Drosophila melanogaster: one gene and its partners. The protein of the gene in region 2 interacts with the protein of the main gene of each other region in a pairwise test. Each region holds a gene or a part of one and is shown on either strand. Other genes may lie near its edges. The genes, in order: CG13405, YL-1, Drgx and tzn.

The links.
Region 1: the proteins of YL-1 (region 2) and CG13405 interact in a two-hybrid assay, tested with the Drosophila melanogaster proteins (one large-scale study listed by BioGRID).
Region 3: the proteins of YL-1 (region 2) and Drgx interact in a two-hybrid assay, tested with the Drosophila melanogaster proteins (one large-scale study listed by BioGRID).
Region 4: the proteins of YL-1 (region 2) and tzn interact in a two-hybrid assay, tested with the Drosophila melanogaster proteins (one large-scale study listed by BioGRID).

The regions. Positions count from the first base shown.
Region 1 is NT_037436.4:72,748-77,332, reverse strand, and holds CG13405 (uncharacterized protein), read left to right. Parts: upstream 1-2,000; 5' UTR 2,001-2,122; coding exon 2,123-2,695; 3' UTR 2,696-2,879; intron 2,880-2,941; 3' UTR 2,942-3,388; downstream 3,389-4,585.
Region 2 is NT_033779.5:10,968,361-10,973,207, reverse strand, and holds YL-1 (YL-1), read right to left. Parts: upstream 2,766-4,847; 5' UTR 2,655-2,765; coding exon 2,521-2,654; intron 2,461-2,520; coding exon 2,328-2,460; intron 2,252-2,327; coding exon 1,951-2,251; intron 1,892-1,950; coding exon 1,404-1,891; 3' UTR 1,115-1,403; downstream 1-1,114. Other genes in the region: CG16743 (uncharacterized protein), read right to left, coding at 1-700; Tmem214 (transmembrane protein 214), read left to right, coding at 3,086-3,206, 3,280-3,575, 3,632-4,246, 4,312-4,516, 4,625-4,770. UniProt on the Drosophila melanogaster protein: Part of the Tip60 chromatin-remodeling complex which is involved in DNA repair. Upon induction of DNA double-strand breaks, this complex acetylates phosphorylated H2AV in nucleosomes and exchanges it with unmodified H2AV.
Region 3 is NT_033779.5:3,660,723-3,666,262, forward strand, and holds the start of Drgx (dorsal root ganglia homeobox), read left to right. Parts: upstream 1-2,022; 5' UTR 2,023-2,584; intron 2,585-5,540.
Region 4 is NT_037436.4:20,796,333-20,801,096, reverse strand, and holds tzn (tenzing norgay), read right to left. Parts: upstream 2,416-4,764; 5' UTR 2,308-2,415; coding exon 2,109-2,307; intron 1,955-2,108; coding exon 1,107-1,954; 3' UTR 1,031-1,106; downstream 1-1,030. Other genes in the region: Spc105R (Spc105-related), read right to left, coding at 1-374, 427-530, 592-618; CG3698 (uncharacterized protein), read left to right, coding at 2,746-3,768.

The DNA of each region.
Region 1 (4,585 bases), on a different chromosome or scaffold from region 2:
AATATTGGTATTGCAATGTGTTTGTTTTTTTGTTTGCCCTTTTTTTGTGCAAAAATTGATTTTTCTTCTGGGTCTGCCCCGCTCACATTTCCACCTCCTCCCTTCGCTGCCATCCCTTGAGCGTGTCAGAGTTCATCATTACGCCCGTCTAATGTCAAAGATTGTCAACCTTCGCTGAGCGGTTGTGTTTAAATATTACAAATACGACATGTTGTCATGCCACATGAAGACCGGCTTACTAGAAAGGGCGGTCTCAACAAACCCTATTCTCACACCATCACACGACTTTTTTATTACGTCCCCTTTTAAATTATGCTCTGTGAATGGGAATGATTAAAATAATAACAAAAAAGGAAATCAAGCGACGAAATAATATACTGAGTTGACAATACGTTTAAGAGGCCATTTTAAAATAAAAGTTTACCAGGACAGAGAGAGTAGAGTGCCTCGACTACAAGATACCTCTCACTCAGGTGATAATCGGGGTGGCAACTCACTGAAACAAACTGCGACAGCATACGCTGCGGAAGGAAAATGCACAATAAATGGAAATAGAAAAGTTTAATTGAAACTCATTCAAAAAAAAAAAAAAAACAATCAAAGCATGCTAAGGATCTCTATATCTGAAACAGATGCTCTCTACAAAATAGTTGCAGTGAAAAATGGCAAGAGAGTGGGCAAAGAAAAGCGCAGAAGGAGAAAGGCTTCATGATGAAGGATGCTTGTTGTTTGCTGCAGTTAAATTAAATGAAAAAGTTTAAAACTTTTTTAATGAAACCATTTTATTCAGTAGAGGCATAAACAAAAAAACAGTCCCCATTCCGTTGTAACAATAGCACAAAAAAGATGCAAGACAAAGGAAAACAAAAGTCTGAGCGGAAGAAAAACTTGATGCAACTTGCATGGTCTGAAAGGAATCAAAAAAAAAAAAAAAAAAAAAAGAATAAAATGTCCCAATAAAAATCAAAATATGTATGAGACTTAAAGGGGGTGGCCTATGCTTGCTTTCAACTTTGTAAATTAAATTGCCCGTTATTTGATTTAAAATGGGCGGCGCAGTCTTTTTGAGCTTAAGTGACGTATGCGTAATCTGAATGGGGAGCTAATCGAAAAGCCACCTTGATACGGACGATAAAACCCATAGGCTCTGGCTATGGGTGTTCGCTTCTAATGCAACTGTCGCTTTCAGGGACTCGCAAGCAATTGGTAATTACGCCAAAAATTAAACAGGGACGTAATCAAGAAAACATCAAGGATAAAAGCTTAAGCTTGGACCAAACAAGGTGCTTATTATTTAATTAAGTAAATTCAAATAAATTAAATTAAATAAATAAATAAATTTAAATTTGTATATCCCTATATCGACATATTCAATTTCTTTGCTAAACATTGTTCTCTACATTTTTGTCTTTCATTGCACACAACTTTGCAGGTACATTTTGCGTACATATTGTGCATTCCTATTATGCCATTCAATGCACCAGTTTGATATTAAAACAGCAACTTGTGTCGCTGGGCCAGTTATCAAATACATACCCTTTCTTTCCTGGCTTACAGGTTGTAATCTGTTAGAATTCACGTCTTAACTACCGGTAGTACGATGAAACGACCCTGCTGCGAGATAAACATTATGCCAAATTAAAATGCATTCTGTAGTTTCTATAATTAATGCGAACGCATGCCGTCGAGTGGTGCGCTTTGAAACGTAATCCACCGGATCCAGCCACAAGAAATCACTGAGTCAATAAAAGCGTGAAATAAGAGAGATGAGATTGTAGAAGGAATGAAGTTAACGGCGCAACAGCTATCATGATGGCAGAAGAACAATAAATCGTATATGAAAAGATCTAATAACGAGGGAAACGGAAACGGAAGTTATTGAAGTGCTAAAAAAAATGGCGAACTGAAATAATAAAAGTAGTTGTTGTGTGCAGTAAACTGAGATTTTACTGGCTCTAAGGTGTGGAGTTTTATGTTTACGTTTGTCGATCACATGATAAATCTACTACAACAATTTGTATTTGATTTATATATCAAAATTTGGTTTATTAAAGTATTTCATAATTATGTAAACTAATACCCCTGCATCGCTTAATACAATTTATCCCTAACATCCGAAGCAATGTCTGATGTGGAGCAAGAAGCCTCTGGAGACGTTGATAATGAGCAAAATGAAGGACAAGAAGCTGCTGAAGATTTTGAGGGAGAGGGCGAAGGAGACGAACAGGACGTTGAAGAGGAAGATAAGTTCGAGGTGGAGGAGAAGGATCCCTTTGAGCTCCTCAATGAGAGCGATGAAGACGATGAAGAGCAACAGGCAATGTACAAGGAGTATCAGGAGGTGGTCAACGCTATTGATGCGCAGAACAGGATTATAAAAGAGCTCAAGGCAAAGTCCAATCGACTGATGTTCAAGAAGTGCAAGACTTATAGAGACAAGCAGGAATACAAACAACTTAGGGTCTGTCAGGAGCATGAGGAGATCCATTTAAAGGTTCTCGTGAATAGAGCCATGCACCTCCAAAACTTCGGTTCACCTAGGCGCTACAGAGATATAGAAATGGAAGTCACAGAGGACGAGAAGAGCTACTTTTATACTGAACTACAATCGACCTTATCAGGCTTTTGTCCCACGGATTCGGCTGACGAATATGAGTCGGATTCTGAATCGGATAATGGACTATGTTGTACCTAGTTTCCTAGCGGAGTTTCCGAAAATTGACGGGGAAAAGTTATGAAAATACTTGAATAATTGTGGAATATCTTCATATTTTACATATATACATATCTACACATATCAACGACACTGCACTCAATAAAATGGGAAAGGATGGAGGGAATGTGAATAAAAAATGCAAGAAAATTTCAATAAAATGCAAGTAAATGCAAAATTTAATTTAATCCCTCGATTTCTAAAATATCTGCCTAGCACTTCTTTTAGCTGGGTTTAATAGTCAAGAGTCCAGACGTGGAGTAGCCAAATAGCGGGAAAGTGTAGAGCAATAGCAATAAGCGCAAAAACAAGACGATTGTGCCCCCAGACAGAATAAGGGGATCAAAGCAAAACAGCCATAAACAAATAACCGAAGAGGCACAGAAAGACGCCAGTAGACGAGAATGAATCGAAACGAACTGAATTGAACCAAAACTTCTCTCGATGATTTCTTCGTTCCCTCCTCCTTCTTTTATTATGCCTCAATTCTCACTCTCCGCCAAGTGCCACGCCCATTGTGGCGCTTGATGGGGAACACTTCGCAAAAACGAGATAGTTTGACGTTTTCTACACAACTGGTCACTGTTTAAATTTTATTTACATTTAGAAAGATTTGGAGAAAAGTGAAATGTAAATTATTTCGATTAAAAGATAATTTATGTGGACTTGCAACTTAGAAATTTATGGTTTAACCCTAAGGTGGAAAATTCAAAAGCGCGATTTTAGAAGGGGAATGTTGTCGGCGCCAAATTCGCCAACCCAATGTGCAGAAGCAGCGGCTTCGACCGCGTTGCGACGTCACCTTGCGTCCATTCACCCCGTTCATCATTGTTTATGAGTGTGTGCCCAGACACAAAAACAAGCACACATTAACGTATACAGCAAAATTCCTTTAACTGTGCTTCGATTCCATTCCATTTTCCATCTGGTTCTGTTTCTGTTTTTTGGACCTCTGCCTTGGGTCTTCTGTTCATGTCTCTTCGCCCCCCCCCCCCCCCCCCACCCAATTCTCCAACCCTACTGCGTTCTCCCGCTTGTTGTTATTGCACTGTCTGCGGCTTGGGTATTTTTTACGCGCCTGTGCTCCATTCCACGTTCCCAGTCTCCCCGTCTCGTTCCAACAACCTTGGTATATATCTTCGCCGCCCAAAAAAAGTGTGCGAAAAATACTCTAGGAAGATTCAGAATCGCGGAGTCGGATCTAGGAGAGTCGTAATTATTCATGTTTTTTTTTTTAGATACATGTATGTATGTATGTATGTATAACGTGTATGTATGTATGTATAACGTTGGCGAGCAAGTGAAACGGAAACACAATAAGAAGAAGAAAAAAGAATCAAGGTGTCATGCCCCTCCAGAACAAGCTTCAGTGGAAGGGCGAGCAGATGGAAAAAGAATTGCGTCTCGTGTTCATTTTTTTTTTTGTGTGGATATAGACTTTCGCTGGTGGGTCACAAACACAACCACTTATGAACCCTTTAAACCGATAAGTGTCACTCACATTTTCACTAGAAACGTAAATTCCGTATCGTTCTATTTTAGAGCTGGTATGTTTCGGTTCCAACAAATAATTTTCTAAATTAATTTCGCATAAAAAGTGCCAACCAATGCCAGCAACACACACAGGCGCCATAGTATGTAGGCGGTGGAGAGGTTCACAAATGTCACATTCTTAATCGCAACAGCAACAGCACTGTCTGAGGGTCAAAGTTCAGAGACACGTACATTTTTGTTGAGTGGATGGGTCGGACGGAGCCGAAGAGCAATAATGGCTGTCGTCTGGCAGAAAGGCTTTGCCCCCAACCAAAGCACTTAGTACAGAAGTGGAATACAGTCGTCGTCTTCTATGTCTAGGTTTGCGCACTGAATAAG
Region 2 (4,847 bases):
CGTCCTCGTTGTATTCCTTGTTGACCTTAAGGGAATGATTAATAACGCTCGAGCCGCCTGGAGGATAGTTCGGGGCAGGCCCTGATCCCGGGCCGCTGGCAGGCTGCTGTGCCTGAGGCTGATTGGGGATCGCATTTGGGTTGTTAACTGGATTCTGTCCGGGAGCCCCCTGCGGTGGATAGCCGCCTGGATATCCGGACGGGTCGGGTGGATACATTGATGGTGGCGGAGCTTGTTGCGGGTGTGGCGGTGGTGGTGGTGGTGGGGGCATGTACAGATTGTAGGGATATGAAGGATAGCCTCCCATTTGAGGATACGGAGGATACGGCATGTACGGATTGTAGAGATATGAAGGATAGCCTCCCATTTCTTGATACGGAGGATAGCCCGGATTAGGATATGCAGGATAATTGTACTTGTGCTCCGTCTTGGAGTGCTTGTGCTTCTTCTCTCCACTGCTGCTGCTGCTGCTGTCGCTGCTATCGCTGTCCGTCCTAACCACTTCGTACTGAAGTAGCAGTACCAGAAGGACTCCAATCGCCGCACAGCTCTTCATTTCTCCGTTTAAACGCACGACGTTCGTTTGATCTAAGCTCACGGGTATGACTAAATCTTGCTCACACAATACCTTGTCCCGTTCCCGTTCCGACAATTCAAATAGCCAGCGCGTGCGTTGATTTTGATAAGTCGACAAAAACATACAGATGCGACAAGGTTGCGGCAGGGCCCACTCAACTAATTCCCTGTAAGAGTTTAGGATTGAAAAACAATTTCATTCGGAAATGAACAATACTTCGCCCATAGATTATAAATAGAGAATACAATGGGTTAATAATTTATGTGATGTAATGTCTCATACTTATTAATTAGTTATTGTGTGTCGGAACAACCGCATTTCCTCCAGATTTTGTTATATATTGCAAAGAGAGGCTGTGTGCTTATCAATTTGACGCAAATTAAGCGAAACAATTCTTTTGAATAATCTTAATAGAAGACTGCGACGCTTTTATTATTTAGACAACTAAACTTTTAAATAGAGCGGCAATTAAAATTAGATACTAAAAGGTAATAAATGGGTTTTACATATACAAATTGGATTAGCAAGATAAACTTTCTTTTGTGTAAACTGTTTTATCAACTTCTTAAGTTAATAAACCGGATGCTGCTGATAAATAAAATCAAAACAGACTGTGCGTTGATTATAAATACTTTTTAAAGATAACGTTTTGGGAAATACCCTATGTACTACTTTTCCATTGTCGCCATTGTATGAAATATATTAGGTAATCGTTTGGTACTGCCTGAAATTGACGAGGGTTGTCCAAAGAGTAGTTTGTGATTTCTTATACCTTTTTATTCGAAAAATACGTATAGCTTAATGAACTATAAAATTGATAGCATTATTAGTTATCTCCGTTTTTGCTGGCAGCTGCCGAAGCCTTCAGACGATTCTCCTTGACCAGCTTGCGCCATTCCAGCCATTTGGCCAGTTCGGGTTGCTCGCTGCCGCCGCCTTGCTGTTCCAGCTGCATGTAGTAGGCTTCGCGCAGAATTTTGAAGGCCTGGATGCTGTAGTATGGCTGCTGTGTGATCGGGTCAAAGTAACGGGCTGGCAGCCTGGTGATTGGACAGATGCCATTGCTGGCTTTGGGAGGCGCCTTGTGGCGGAAGAGGCTTTGAAACACCTTGTCATTGAAATCGTTCTCGATTGTAACGAATGTGCGTTCGCACTTCCCAGCAAGATCCTTTGAATCGACCGCAGGGTTTGCTCCGCGAGTGGGCTTTCGCATCGCTGGCATGGTTAGTGAGTGGTAGCGTATCGTGGGTCCGGAGAACGTGCGCTTGGTGGGACGTGATTTCTTCTTCTCCAGCTCCATTTTCTGGAATTTCTCTGTGAATGCAACAGCAAATTGTAAAATAGCTGCTTCCTTGGTTGCTTTAGATACCCACCCAAAGATTTAGTGTTTTCTTCCTCGGTTATTTTGGCCTCCTCCAGCAGCTCCTCCTGCGTGGGCATGTAGTCCTCCACGCGCACCTTCTTCTTTTTGCGCTTGCGGGCATCGTCCAACTCTTTGAGGCGTATTTTGGTAGCCTGTGTCTTGATGGCCGTGGAAGTGCGTATGGATTTGCGGCCGGAATCGAGGACCGTGAAGCGTGGACGTGGCCGCCGTTTCGTTACCCCACCACCAGGTCGTTTCTTGTGCAGGGCCGGCGTTGCCTTTGTTTCCTTTTTGACTGCAGGCTTGGTTTCCTGCGGAAATCATATGTACCATTTAAACACATTCAGTAATCACAGGATTTTATCGCATTTTAAGAATGGTTCGCACCTTATAAGCCTTTGTGTTAACGACACCGCGTTTCCGCTTTTTCTCGGGCGCCTCTTCCTGATCCGAAACGGGCTCGTCGTTCTCATCGATACTGAAGTCGGAGTCAACCACATCTTCCTCTTCGTCTTTTTGCCTGCAGAGTGAATTTTATATGGCTTGAGCATTTAAATTTATTCAAATGATTAGTGCTCACTCGTATTCCTTATCCTCTTCGTCCTCCTGAAATCCACCATAGGACGTTTTGTAAAAGTCGTCCTCCTCTTCCTCATTGAGCAAATGAGCTATTTTGTTGCCGGCATTGTTGCGCCGTGATCGCGAGGCAGCCATTTTTGTTATTTATATATAGAAACTATGATTTAAAGCAGCTATTAAATAATAATATTTTACAATTTGTAAATGTAAACAAGCAGAGCAGTGTGACCAATGTAGCAAACATAGTATATATCGCAGAGGCTTTACAACTTTGGTATGCGTTTCAGCCCTGGTAAAGAAAATGGTTTCTCCTGCATTGGCAGTTATTCAAACACATTTAAAACATAGCTAAATTTATTTATTTATCTATTACATGTATCACAACAAAAAGCAGGCAGCTGCTTTAAAATCACATTAAAAAGCGGTCGGTAATTCAACTACCGAAAGTAGACCACATTACTTTACACTTGCGCTGGCCACACTCTTGGCTTGTTGCTTTTTATTCTGCCGGCTGCCTGCATTTTCTGATTTAATTTAATACCATCGATAAAAAGACTGCTCGCAACATGTCGGAACAATGGGAGGTGGTCTCCAAGTCGCGCAAGCAAAAGAATCTGGACAAGAAGGTGTCTGCACACAACGAGCAGAAGCGCATCGCGGCCCAGTTGCCCAAACTGGAGGAGCTGTGTAAGAATCTTTTAAAAGGTGCACCTTGCAATGCGATTACATGTTTGCCCCTGCCATTTTATTCACTTCGCAGTGCCAACTCAGCGGTATCGCAATTTGTTCGGCAGCAGCAACAACAACAACAGCAAGTCCCATTCCCCTGCGAAATCTAGTTCAAGTGCCTCATCTTCCTCAAAAGCCAATAAGTCGCCAGTTAAAAAGCACACCGCAAAGAATGCCTCTACCCAAAAAAGGACCACGTCGGCAGCCGCATCGAAGCCAAAGACTCTGGAGCTGGCCTTGAGAAACATCACCCGGGATGATTTTGCTGCCCAACTGGAGCAGGTGAAGCTCAGTTGTCCTGGCTCCGAGCTGCGCTGGTTAAGCCATGTATGTTTCTAAAGGAAATGTGCCTAAATATTTGCTCACCTATCGTTGTCCCCCAGATTGCGCTATACTTCAATGAAGCCTTGTCCTATGACTGCGATCCCATCTTCTCCGGCCGCTCGGCTCAGTATCCCAGCAATTTGGCCAGCGCCTCGCTCAAGTACTCAATTGTGGAGTTTCTGGGCAGTGTGGGCGAACAAAACCTGGAGTATTTCTTCTACTCCCTGCTGGATAGCATGTCAACGGATCTAAACAACAATCAGACAGTGGCAGGCTACAAGCTCATCCTACAGTTGATCGGTCAAAACTGGCCGAACATTTGTTCTAGGAACCTGGCCAAGACTGCGTTGCTAAGGAACTCCTATCAGAACCGTAGCAACATCTGCCTGAGCATCCTGTGGGCAATTGGACAAGGTGGCTATCAGTCCCTAAACGAGGGCGTTCGCGTGTGGCAGAACCTGATGCTGCCCAACCTGGAGCTAAAGCAGTACACCAAGTTTGTGGTCGAGTATATGGAGCGGGCTCTGAGTGCAGCAGCTGTCCGGAAGACAGCGGATCCTCTGCAGATCAACCAGCAGGAGTTCTTTGCCACTTACAATGCGCTCAATGCACCCTATAACCACCTGCCCAAGGAATGGCAGCAAAGTCTGAAGCGTAGTGCGCGTTTGTTGCTTGTAAGGACGAAAACAATTGATAGTTGTCCCATTGTTTCACTGACCTTTCTTCCTCCTGTGTGTAGCAACACTATATCAACAGTCCTGTGAGGCATGCCAACATATTCCTTACGCTCTTCCGGGAAATAAGCGCCGGATCCAAGCAGACTAATGAGATCGAAGGCTGTATTAGTTGTCTGCTCAGCAGCGGCAGAGATGATTGCCTCAGGGTGTGGCGCATGAACTACAAGAAGCAACAGTTGCCTAGTCTACTGCTTCTGAAAGCTATAAGTACGATCTACAGCTGTGAAAATTCATTTAATTGGATTTTTGTTTAAAAGTACCACCCACACTTAACGTTAATGTGTTATCTAATATTGAATTTCTATCTTTTCCTAGACGACAATTGGACCACGTCTACCCATGAGTTGGCTACGTCGACTGTGTATCACTCTTTTCTGCAAGATGTGGCGAATCTGAACGAAGAACTGCAGGGAAGCAAGAGAAACGAAGGTCACCTAGATGATTTAAAGGAGGTTTTGTTGGTGAGTGCGACTTAAGTATATCACTCGATTCCAAGCATAAGGCTCTGATCCCAGATCGATAAAAGGTGAATGTTGAA
Region 3 (5,540 bases), 7.3 Mb from region 2:
TCTAAGTAATTTTTGTAAAATTATAACAAATAGCTCATAACAACAAAGCTTATCACATAACTGATAACTTCGCCAATATTGACAATTTTATGACAAGCAAACTGTTATAAAATCATCCACCCAAAGTGGAAAATGCAACACGAGTAGTTTCCGTGGATGGAAAAATCTTTTTTCCTCCTCCGAATCGCTGGAAACTCACCTGCCAAAGGAAGAGGCGTTAGAAGCCGAGTGCCACGCCTTCTCTCTGGCGTCCAAAACGAATCCCAGACTCATCTATTATGAAGTAGGTAATTCCACTAAAACGAACCAACCAAGAAAAGCGCCGAAAATGTAGAGGGAGTGGAAAATAAACACAATCAAAGAGGACAAAACAAAATTTAAGCGCAAAATGAAATGAAATTCGGATTGGAAATGAAACTAAAATACAAACTAATGATGGAGGAACGTAGTGGGGCCGCAATCCAGGAGCCTGTGGGTGGCAAAGGAAGTAAGCTAACAATAGACAAAGTCATAAATCAGGGCGCCAATTTGCAGGCCTGACAGGCTACCCCCAAATGAAAGGAGCGGCAGGCGAGGGGAGAGCGTAGGAGAGCCAGAAGAAACTGAATAGTTATCCTGCACGCCCAAAATGCCAAATTCAGAACACTTTAAAAAATATATTCTCAAATGATGATCAAGTTTTTACAATTGGATTATGATAATAAAATAGAAAGCAGTTGCAAAATATTATAAAAAATATTACATGTTTTTTTTAGAATTTGAAGAGCATCTACTCATACTATTTCAAAGATTGTAAAGCAAAGTATTTTATTTCGCTTGATATTTATATAATGTTTTACCTAGGAATAAGAACATTTCAGGTAAGATTTGTGATGGAATTACGGCAGTGCATAAAAGGGGAAGAATAGGGACTGCGGAAGGCCACAAATTCATTTCGTAATTGTGGCCAAAGAGCCATGTGGCAAGAAGGGGGGGTGGGGTTGAGAGAGGGGTCAGAGGTCGAGGGGCGAAGGACAGCTAGAGGAACCCATTCAGGCAAACAATAATAAATGGGATCCAAGATGGCGTCACTGGGATTGGGAATTGCTATTATACGGGGTGTTTTCTTCTTTGGGGGAGGAAACAGAAAAGCCATAACAATGATGCTCCATAATAAATTAACTGAAATTCACTTAGTTATTTATTTTTTGCCCAAGATGAGAGATTAATCTAAATAAATTGAGTTGTCAAGTGGGGCACAAAGAAAAGAAAAAGTTCGTGGGGGGTGGGGAGGGGTAAAAAATGATATGCCAAATAAATACCAACGGTGAGTAATCGTTTTCTTATTGTTACTGCTGTAGTATCCTCTTCCTCTTCCCCGAAGAGCACCAAAGCGATTCCCCGAAGAAGGCGATTCTTCTTCCCGTATCGCCCATTTCTTCCCGCATCCCCCACCCCCCTGCCCCACACACATTCACCACACTTAACGATGAAAATCCAATTTAAGGCTGCCTCAGTTGTTTGCGCTCTCCTTCCCCCCCTTGGGGCTAGTCCCGTCTCTTTCGCTCGCTCTCTCCTTGCCACCTAAATAAAGTGTAATAAAATAAAGTAGATAGGGATAAGAGTAGATAGGGATATTAGGAACACGAGAGCCCCTTCAACGTTTCTGTTTTTGTTTTTGCAGCTCTCCATGCCGAAAATTCAATTTCCACAATGAAAATGCGCGAGAAAATTGTCTTACATGCCGGAGAAAGAGCAAAAGAGAGAGGGAGTGAGGGGGTTGGGTGAGCGAGCGAGATGGGTATATGTCTCGAAACAACTGCGCTTTGGTTTGCTGGCTGCGCGGCGCATGCGCGAGCGAAAATAACGGGAAATGGCAAAGGCGGCGCTTAGGGGCATCATCCCCATTCCTCCTCCTCCATCTCTTTCCCACCCGCAGCCATCTTTCTGCCGGCGCAGATCTAATTTGCAGCCGACTGCGCTGTCGACGTTGCGACTGCGGCAAGCACCGTTAGATCATTCGCATTCTGACGTTTCACGCGGTCGGTTGAACACTATCCACACTACTATATATATGTCATATAGATCTTACTAAATCCCCCGAAAAAATACGTATTACCCGTCTGGATTAAATGACAATTTTTTAATCTCTAAAAGGAAACTTTTCCGTCGGCAAAACGGTGCTGCGAACAAGGCTGGAAAAACTCAAAACTCCTCATAGACATCCAGCTCCTTCAAGTGCTAAACCTACGTGTGTGTTTGTTCTTAACCCAAAACTAACTACTCTTTGCGGCCTATTACCTCTGAGATTGAGCGTGTAATTTGTAGAGGAATCCTTAACATTGCCCAACTTCCTTTGTGATTCGCCCACGTATCCTTGTTGAAAACTTTTTGCAAAACTTCCTGGCAAGTGTTTAGACTTGTTTAGCTCGGGGAAACTTTCGCACCTTTGTCTTGCGTGTTCGTTCGTTCTGTGAAAATTGCGAAAAAGTTAAACTCAAACAGAGCTCAGCGCCAAAAAGTCAAAAAAACAAGAGCGACAAGGGATTTTCTTCTGTCACACGCTTGAAGTATTGCTGCCAAAATTTTCACGGACGGTAATAAGGTAATATCTCTTATGCACTCATTTGATTTATAACAAAGTCGGAAATTCCTTTAGAAAAGAATTATTATTAACGGGTTTTGGAACGTTATGATCGAATTGTTTGTTATCCTCAAGCAACTGATTCAAAAGATAATCCTCAACTTCCCATTCAAATCGCAGCACACCGTGCGCTCATAATTTATTTAGACGCTTTTAATTTGCATTAAGGAAATTTCCTAATGAGTTTCAGTGTGATAAGAATCTCGGCCTTCGAGAGTCCGGAGTCCTGGAGTGTGTGTTTTTGTGAGCCAGACCCGAAGTGTCTGGCAAAAGTGTTTGTGCCGATGCCTTTCCTGTGAGAAATCGCACAAAACTCGTCAAGCACTTGAAGTGCAAATGTGAAAGAAGCGTGGATTGGAGGCGAAAAAAGAATTAAAACCAAAATTGGTGTATGCATAAAGGATTCGGCAGCAAGGATCCAAAAGGAGATTGCCCCCGAAAACAGCAAGGGATGGGGTATTTCGGTTGAAAACTCGCCGCTTAATTGAAGACAGACCAAAAGTTGATCACTCCGCAAATGCAGTTTGAATAATTGATGGTAATTAAGAGAGGGAAAAAAAGAGGAGACAGCTCGTGGATTCCGATTCTCCATGTGCGCAACGGAGATGGAGCAAGGGTACAAAATCAATGGCAAATAATTCGCCAAAGAGCAAACCAAACAAAAAAAAAAAGAAGTGGGGAAAACGAAGTTTCAAATTAAATTGATCAACCGCAAATTAATTGGCAGCCATGCAAACGTTCAACGCTCCACTGGATGCCACGCCCACGCAAGAGGGCGGTGGGTGGCACACAGGGTTGGGAAGTCTGACTGGATGGATCCACATAGGAGTCAATTGGAGTTGACGAACGGTTTTTCCATTCGTCGCCAAGTTTTGTTCGATTCGTTCAACTCAATTAGGGAAGCATGGGTGCAAAAAAGGGGCAGTGAAATGGGCGCTGAATGGGGGGGTTAAAAAGGGGGCTGGTGCGATAGGGCCGCATACAAATAAAATACAATTTGGCATATTTAAATTAGCAAATGGAATTACCGCAGAGAACGTTAGTCGAAGGAGGTTAGTTCGGCCATGTTTATTGATTGCTTGATTGAATTGGGCAACGAATTGGTGAATGCTCCAAATTGATGGATAGATTGGAGTCCACACATTCTCGCCGAGGCTTTCCATATGCAAATGAGACATGTCACCGTACCACTAGTTTCAAAAAGATATTTAACCATCTAAATATTAACTTATTGTAATATATTAATATATTTATAATGAATAATTCGACAATTAGAACTGATTATCTGTATATAGCATATTCATTTGATTTCGTCATCACACTCTTAGCAAATTTCATAGCCCACTTTAATTCATCCCCTGTGTTTCTCAATCACTTAACGACCCCCCACAAAGCTTAATAAATATATGGTGCCAACACCTCCCATACCCTAACCAACTGAAATGCACAAAACAATTTGCTTTAATTAAACAGAAAATTCAATCAAAATATTTATAAAACAAGAAGACCAAGTCAGTAGGGGTGATCAACGGATTTTCCTCCCCATGCGGGCGCCCCGAAGATGACGATATACCATACATATATGTATTTATGTATGTATATCAAGTATATATAATTGAAAGGGTTAGCTTTCGGAATCGGCTCTGTTTGGCTTTCGAGTTTGTATAAGCTGGCGGCACTTGGACACGAAAAACTGGCGGGGGTGCAACACGGCTGCCTAATTCAATTTACGCTCATTTTTTGCAGTGCAGCATTCGGGCGCTGATTCGCTGGTGGGTGGCTCTCCGGCCAAATGCACTGCATCATTTCGGTCCGATTTACACTGAGGCTCTGATTCCCTGATTCTAGGCGCGAGCCAATTGACACAATCAAATTCGAACCTCGCAAATTCGCTTAATGCGCCGCGAGACAAAAACAAGAGCAGCAAAAAAATATGCAAAAAAAAAAAGGAAAACGCTCAACCAAAACTGCAATCAAGAGGGATACTTAGATGGGGGCATATGCAAATGGTTTGGCTAGACAGTGGAGATTCCAAAAACATGAAAGTGTAACAACTTGTATGTATTTCATTTAAATATTAGATAGATCATTGAGTAGATAGATCATAACTCTCAGCTACTGTGATATGAATATTATATTGAAAAATCCTTTCCGCACCTGGAAGCTCTACTGTATCCATCATATCACAGCCCACTCCAAGTTGGATCATCAGTGGCAGACTGCGCCAGTTTAGTTTGATTACGCCGGCCGGACAGGCAGACATTTCTAAAAACGGATGCACTTTACTTCGGTGGCAAAAGTGATAACCTCATCGCTGGACGGCCAGTTTACCGCCACCCACTTCCACCTCCTCCTCCTCCTCCCATTACCATATCATCTCACCTCAGTGGGAAATTATCGCGCTCTCGGTTTGGGGCAACAACAAAAACAAAAAAAACTAGGAAAACTAGAGCTAAACGAGTGTGTGGGTGGGCGGTAGGCAATTTCGCAAATGCGTTTAAGTGGCTCTAATGCCAGCGGGACGGGGCTTTGGAGCAGGGATGCGCACGTGGATATGCCCATGGATGTGATATCCACAAGCGGAGGCACTGCAGCAGTCTGTTTGCGAATTATCCCACTTTCCAGCTGCACTGCACTCTTGCGAATCTGTGTGTTTCTGCGTCTCGTCGCGATTTGGCGAACCGAGATTCGAGTGGCCGATAAGTCCATTAGTGCAACTGGCCCTGGGAATGAAAGCAGGTCGGTGGTGGGTTTGCATCTGACCTTCAAGAGGCGGCAAAAGTGCAGGAAAAAATTCCAAAAATATGTCTGTCTTCTGACCTTCTGAATATGGTATTTTATACATATTTGAATGACACGTAGAAAATTATAATGAAAGTTATCTGTTCTTATTCCATTATCAAAATGCTGACCATAT
Region 4 (4,764 bases), on a different chromosome or scaffold from region 2:
ATCCGGATATCAGATCCATGGTCTTGTCTACCAGCTGGCGGTCGCTGAGACTGCTTTGCAACAGTTTTCGCTCCTCGGAGGTCATGCAAAAGGACACAGCAGAGATTGAGGATGTCTTCCTCGATTTGTCCATCATTTCGCAGGGCAGCAGGGTGAAATCCACGCTGGCCTGCAGATTCACGGACAGATCGACATGTTCCCGCTCGCAGTGGCTGGGCAGGGGAATGTTCTCCTTGTCGGCATGTTCGGAAACCCTCGCTACTGATGCTGATCCTGTGCTGCAGCACTTCGATCCCGAGCTGTCCTCAGCATGGTGTTCCGACACCTCGTACGAGTCGTCCCAGTTGTTGGTCTCCTTGGTGTTTACGAATTCCCTATGTGGAGGGCGGGTGAGCGTTGTACATCGCATATATCTACTGTACGTACCTCACGGACTTCTTGCCACTGAAACTGATGCGTCGCTTGATTTGTTGTTTGATCGCGGACGTTGTTGTGGTCGCCTCATCTTCCTTGGTCGGCACCTTACGCAGCTGCAAGAAGAGTAGGTCTACCATGAGCGCTTCTCAATCAATTAATTTTCGAAGAACCCACCGAACTTCTGCGTTTGTTTGCGTTCATCGCGCCGTGCTGTTAACTTGTTTTTATTTCAAAATCCCATTGGAGAGACGCCGCGATTTTTGTGTTAATGGCAGACGGTGTTGCCAGATCGTTGGCGATAGATCGCTAGAAATACCAAAAGTATTTTTGATATGCCCAAAAGGCACTAACGCCTAACCAAAACCGTTGTGATTCAAATTTTACGAAATTTGCTAAAATCTTTGGATTTAAAAAATTTGTTAAGTTCATTGCTCTATGAATAAAGTTGGAATCAACCAGTACCCTCTTCTCTAGGGTGTTGCTAGACCAAAATACCAAAAATAAATTCTTTTAAATAAAGCTGAAGAAATAAATTTATGTCATAATTTGAATAAAACAAAAAAAGTTTTAATCCGATAAATTGCGAATAATTAAAAATCCATTGTCCGCACTTCACACACATCGTTAATTTTATTAACCATTAAAATCCAATATTAAATCACAAGTTTCGAAACTTTCGAGGAAATAGATCAGGCTTTGAAGGTGTCCTTTTCCTTGCGCAGCTTGCCCATGGTGACGACGGGATCGGTGGCTCCGCCAGCGTGCTTCTGCACGGTGGCTTCGTGAACGCGCATAAAGGGGTTCCAGGACTTCTCCTCGCCAATGGTGGAGGGCACAGTGGGATCCTGGGAGGCGCGCCGGTGCTTGGCCCACTCGATCCTCTGCTGGATGACCTCGTTGTCGGGCTCGACGTGACGGGCGAAGCTCATGTTCTGCAGCGTGTACTCGTGGCCACAGAACACCTTTGTGGCGTCCGGCAAGGCGGAGAGCTTTGTGCACAGCGCCTCGTACATTTCCTCGGGAGTGCCCTCGAAGAAGCGGCCGCATCCGCCCTGGAAGAGGGTGTCGCCGGTGAAGACGGCTCCCTCGCCGCTGCCCTGCTGCGCGGTGATGTGGTAGCAGATGTGGCCGGTAGTGTGGCACGGCGTGGACAAGCACTTGACATGCAGACCACCAATGGTGAAGGTGTCGTCCTGCTGAACCTTTTTGTTCAATGCCCCGATGCGGTCATCGCCGCCATACACGTCCAGCTCCTTCTCCCACAGCTTGAGCAGCTTTTCATTGCCACCGGCGTGGTCCCAGTGATGGTGCGTGGTCAGCACCTTGCTGAGGGTCAGCTGCTGCTCCTGCACCGTCTTAATGACCAGCTCCGGCTCCACGGGATCCACCACGGCCGCCTCGCGCGTCTTCGTGTCTACAATCAGATACATATAGTTATCCTGCAGGGCCGGCAGGATCTTGATCTCCATGCCCTCCAGCTGCACGTCCTCCAATGTGCTGTGCATGCCTCTGAAGCCGACTTTTCGTAGTTTTTGCACTGAAACGAAGCGATGGTTTCACATTTAGCTACATAGATGGCCAACAGATAAACAGACTGACTAGCTACGGACGAACAAAAAGCGTAGATACTGGGAAATGAAATTGCAGCACCGGGAGAGATTAGATTAAACACGTATGTACGGATAGATTACGCTTGACGAGACTTGGACAGATGACGGGCACAGCCAGAAAACGCCGCCGAATCGCTCCGAAACCAGGGGCATCCGCTCGAGGAATCGTCCGCCAGGAACGCAGGAGCAGTGTCGGATTGCTGGACGAACCTCGGAAGTAGGTGGCCGTCAACTGGGTCTCCACGGAGGTGGCCACGCTGCGCCAGGCGGAGGCCAACATTCTGTACTTTCGGCTAGATAAACTGAAAAGCGTGTGCGATTCGAAATGAATTAATTATGGCTCCTAATTACAGTTGTTTTTTTCTCCAAATCTGCTATGCTCGGGCGAGTGTGACCGTTTGGGGGCCGGTAAGGGAAACCACTGACGGGTACACCATCTACCGGAAATATACCGAAACATACCTGCAAACGTAGTGGTGGCTCAAACCGGAAATGAAAAGTTTTATAGCACAGACATAAGCCAATAATAATAAAAATACATTTTTATATTAAATTATATATTCTTGTCTCTAGGCCAAAGAGTATATGTTCTCTTCTGTGGTAAAAAGCTTATAAGTTAACTTTTTGGCACGCCTAACTTGAATTCAGATCATATGTACGAAAAAGACGTCAGTTGGCTTTGAAGCGGCACGTCATAAGTTTAGAACATAAAGTCACTATGTCGGAATCAACCGATCCCCATTGCGCCACCTCCAAGTCCAACCTGATCAAGGTGAACCACGTGGGGGTGACGGCCAAGCTGCAGTCTCCCCTGAAGAAGATCTTCCCACGGCTGAACTCCTCCAGCGATTCCGACGCATATCAGCACAGTCAGACGCAGTACAACATGTTCAAGGATGTGGCGCACGGGGAAATGACCGCGTCCACGGATTCGGGGAGCTCACCACACACTCTGTACGAGATGCACGCTGAGCCGGGGAAGAGTCAGCTTAGCCTGAGCAAGAGCAAGCCCCAAAGGATCGAGTTCCAGCGTTACTCCAAGCGCCGTCCCCGTGTGCTCGTCCCAACGAGAACTGCGCCGAAAGTGAAGGGTCGTGCCACAAAGTCCCACAAATCATCGCAGGCGCAGAAGCAGAAGCAGAAGAGTGGCTTTCTAGCCCGTTTAGTGGAGTCGCTGGACAAGATGTGCAAGTGCCAGCCGCAGAGCCGAAATTCCATCATCGACGATCTGCCGGAGCCACAGTGGAATCGCAAGGAGGCCAACCGGCACACCTGCATCGGCATCTATCCCTTCGAGCATGGCTGCGCCGACTATCTGAGCACCACGGACTCGCATCCGAAGATCAATGCTATTGTCCTGGCCGACCGCGCCACCACCTATGCCACCCACTTCTGGGCGGAGCTCTTCGGACTGCTGCACATCGCCGTGGCCTTCGTGGTAGCCTTCATTCTGCAGAGCTACCGATTTGTCCTCTACTCCCTGGTGAACACCCTGATCGTTGGACTGCTCCACATGACCTCCGACTACTTGCTCAAGCCCCTCCTGACCATGCTCTTCAACGGCTACCTGCAGCCACCACTGATTTTCCTATACAATGTACTGTGCTCCGCCAGGGACATCCTCGATCCGGTGGCCACCACCCTGAACAACTTGATGAAACCGCTGGCCACGGTGGGCGGCAGTATACGATTGGTGGACGTCAACTATCGCCAGGTCCATAAGCTGGCCAAAGAGGTTTGAGTTTCGTTTCGTTTACGCTGTTAAATTGTTATTGTTCGTTTTCGAAGTGCTTTTCTTGTTATATTAAAAATAAGTACGGACTTTATATAAATTCTACTCATTTTAAATTAAGGATAGAAAACTACAACTGCTTGTACAAATGTAATATAATGCAATATATAATATCAGGCAATAATATTATTAAATACATATTTTTTATATTTGTATATAATCAATATTTGTATGAACTATAAATTTAAAAGGATTCCCCCATTGAATCTGTTTCATTTCAATTTTGTTCCGTTGACCGTTTTGTTTCACTTCCACTTGTTCCCGTAGGCGGAGCCATTACAACCCCTAAAACTGAAGAAGTTTTTCCACCTCGCAGCCTTCACACAATATTACGCACATTCCAAAAAACCTTCTCGGATTACATTGTTTTTCTCGTTTCACAGAAGTGTAGGCATGGTGACCCACCCCTGCCCCTCGGAGAAGGAGAACTTAGGGGTAAGTTCTGGCTCAATTACGTTGAATGAAACATTTATGATTTATTTGCTCATTTTGCGGCCGGGGAAAGCATATGTCCAAAATAAAAAATAAAAAACACACTAATTGTGTCCCGCGGGAATTTCGTTTGGCAGCGCATAATTAGTTTACAATTTTCGCTTAATAAAGTCGTTAGAAAACAACGATGCACAAGAGAATTTGAAATCCCATTTAAAGCTAGCCATAAATAATATAGAACTTGAATATAAATAATATATAGTGAAAATATTAATATCGTTGGACAATTTTTCTCTATGTAATGGTGAGAAACAGCCGTCTTTTTTTTTATCAATGGTGCTTTGATTTTATCAGATTTCATTCTTCAAATTTTCATTCATTTTTGGCCAAAATTTCCCAAGAACTCTGCATACCAAATTTAGAAAGAGCAAATAAACAAATCTGATCTAGATCAGGTAGAATGATGGAAATCAGTTGCCAATCTGCTCGGGTTTCCGACTTTCAACAGAATTC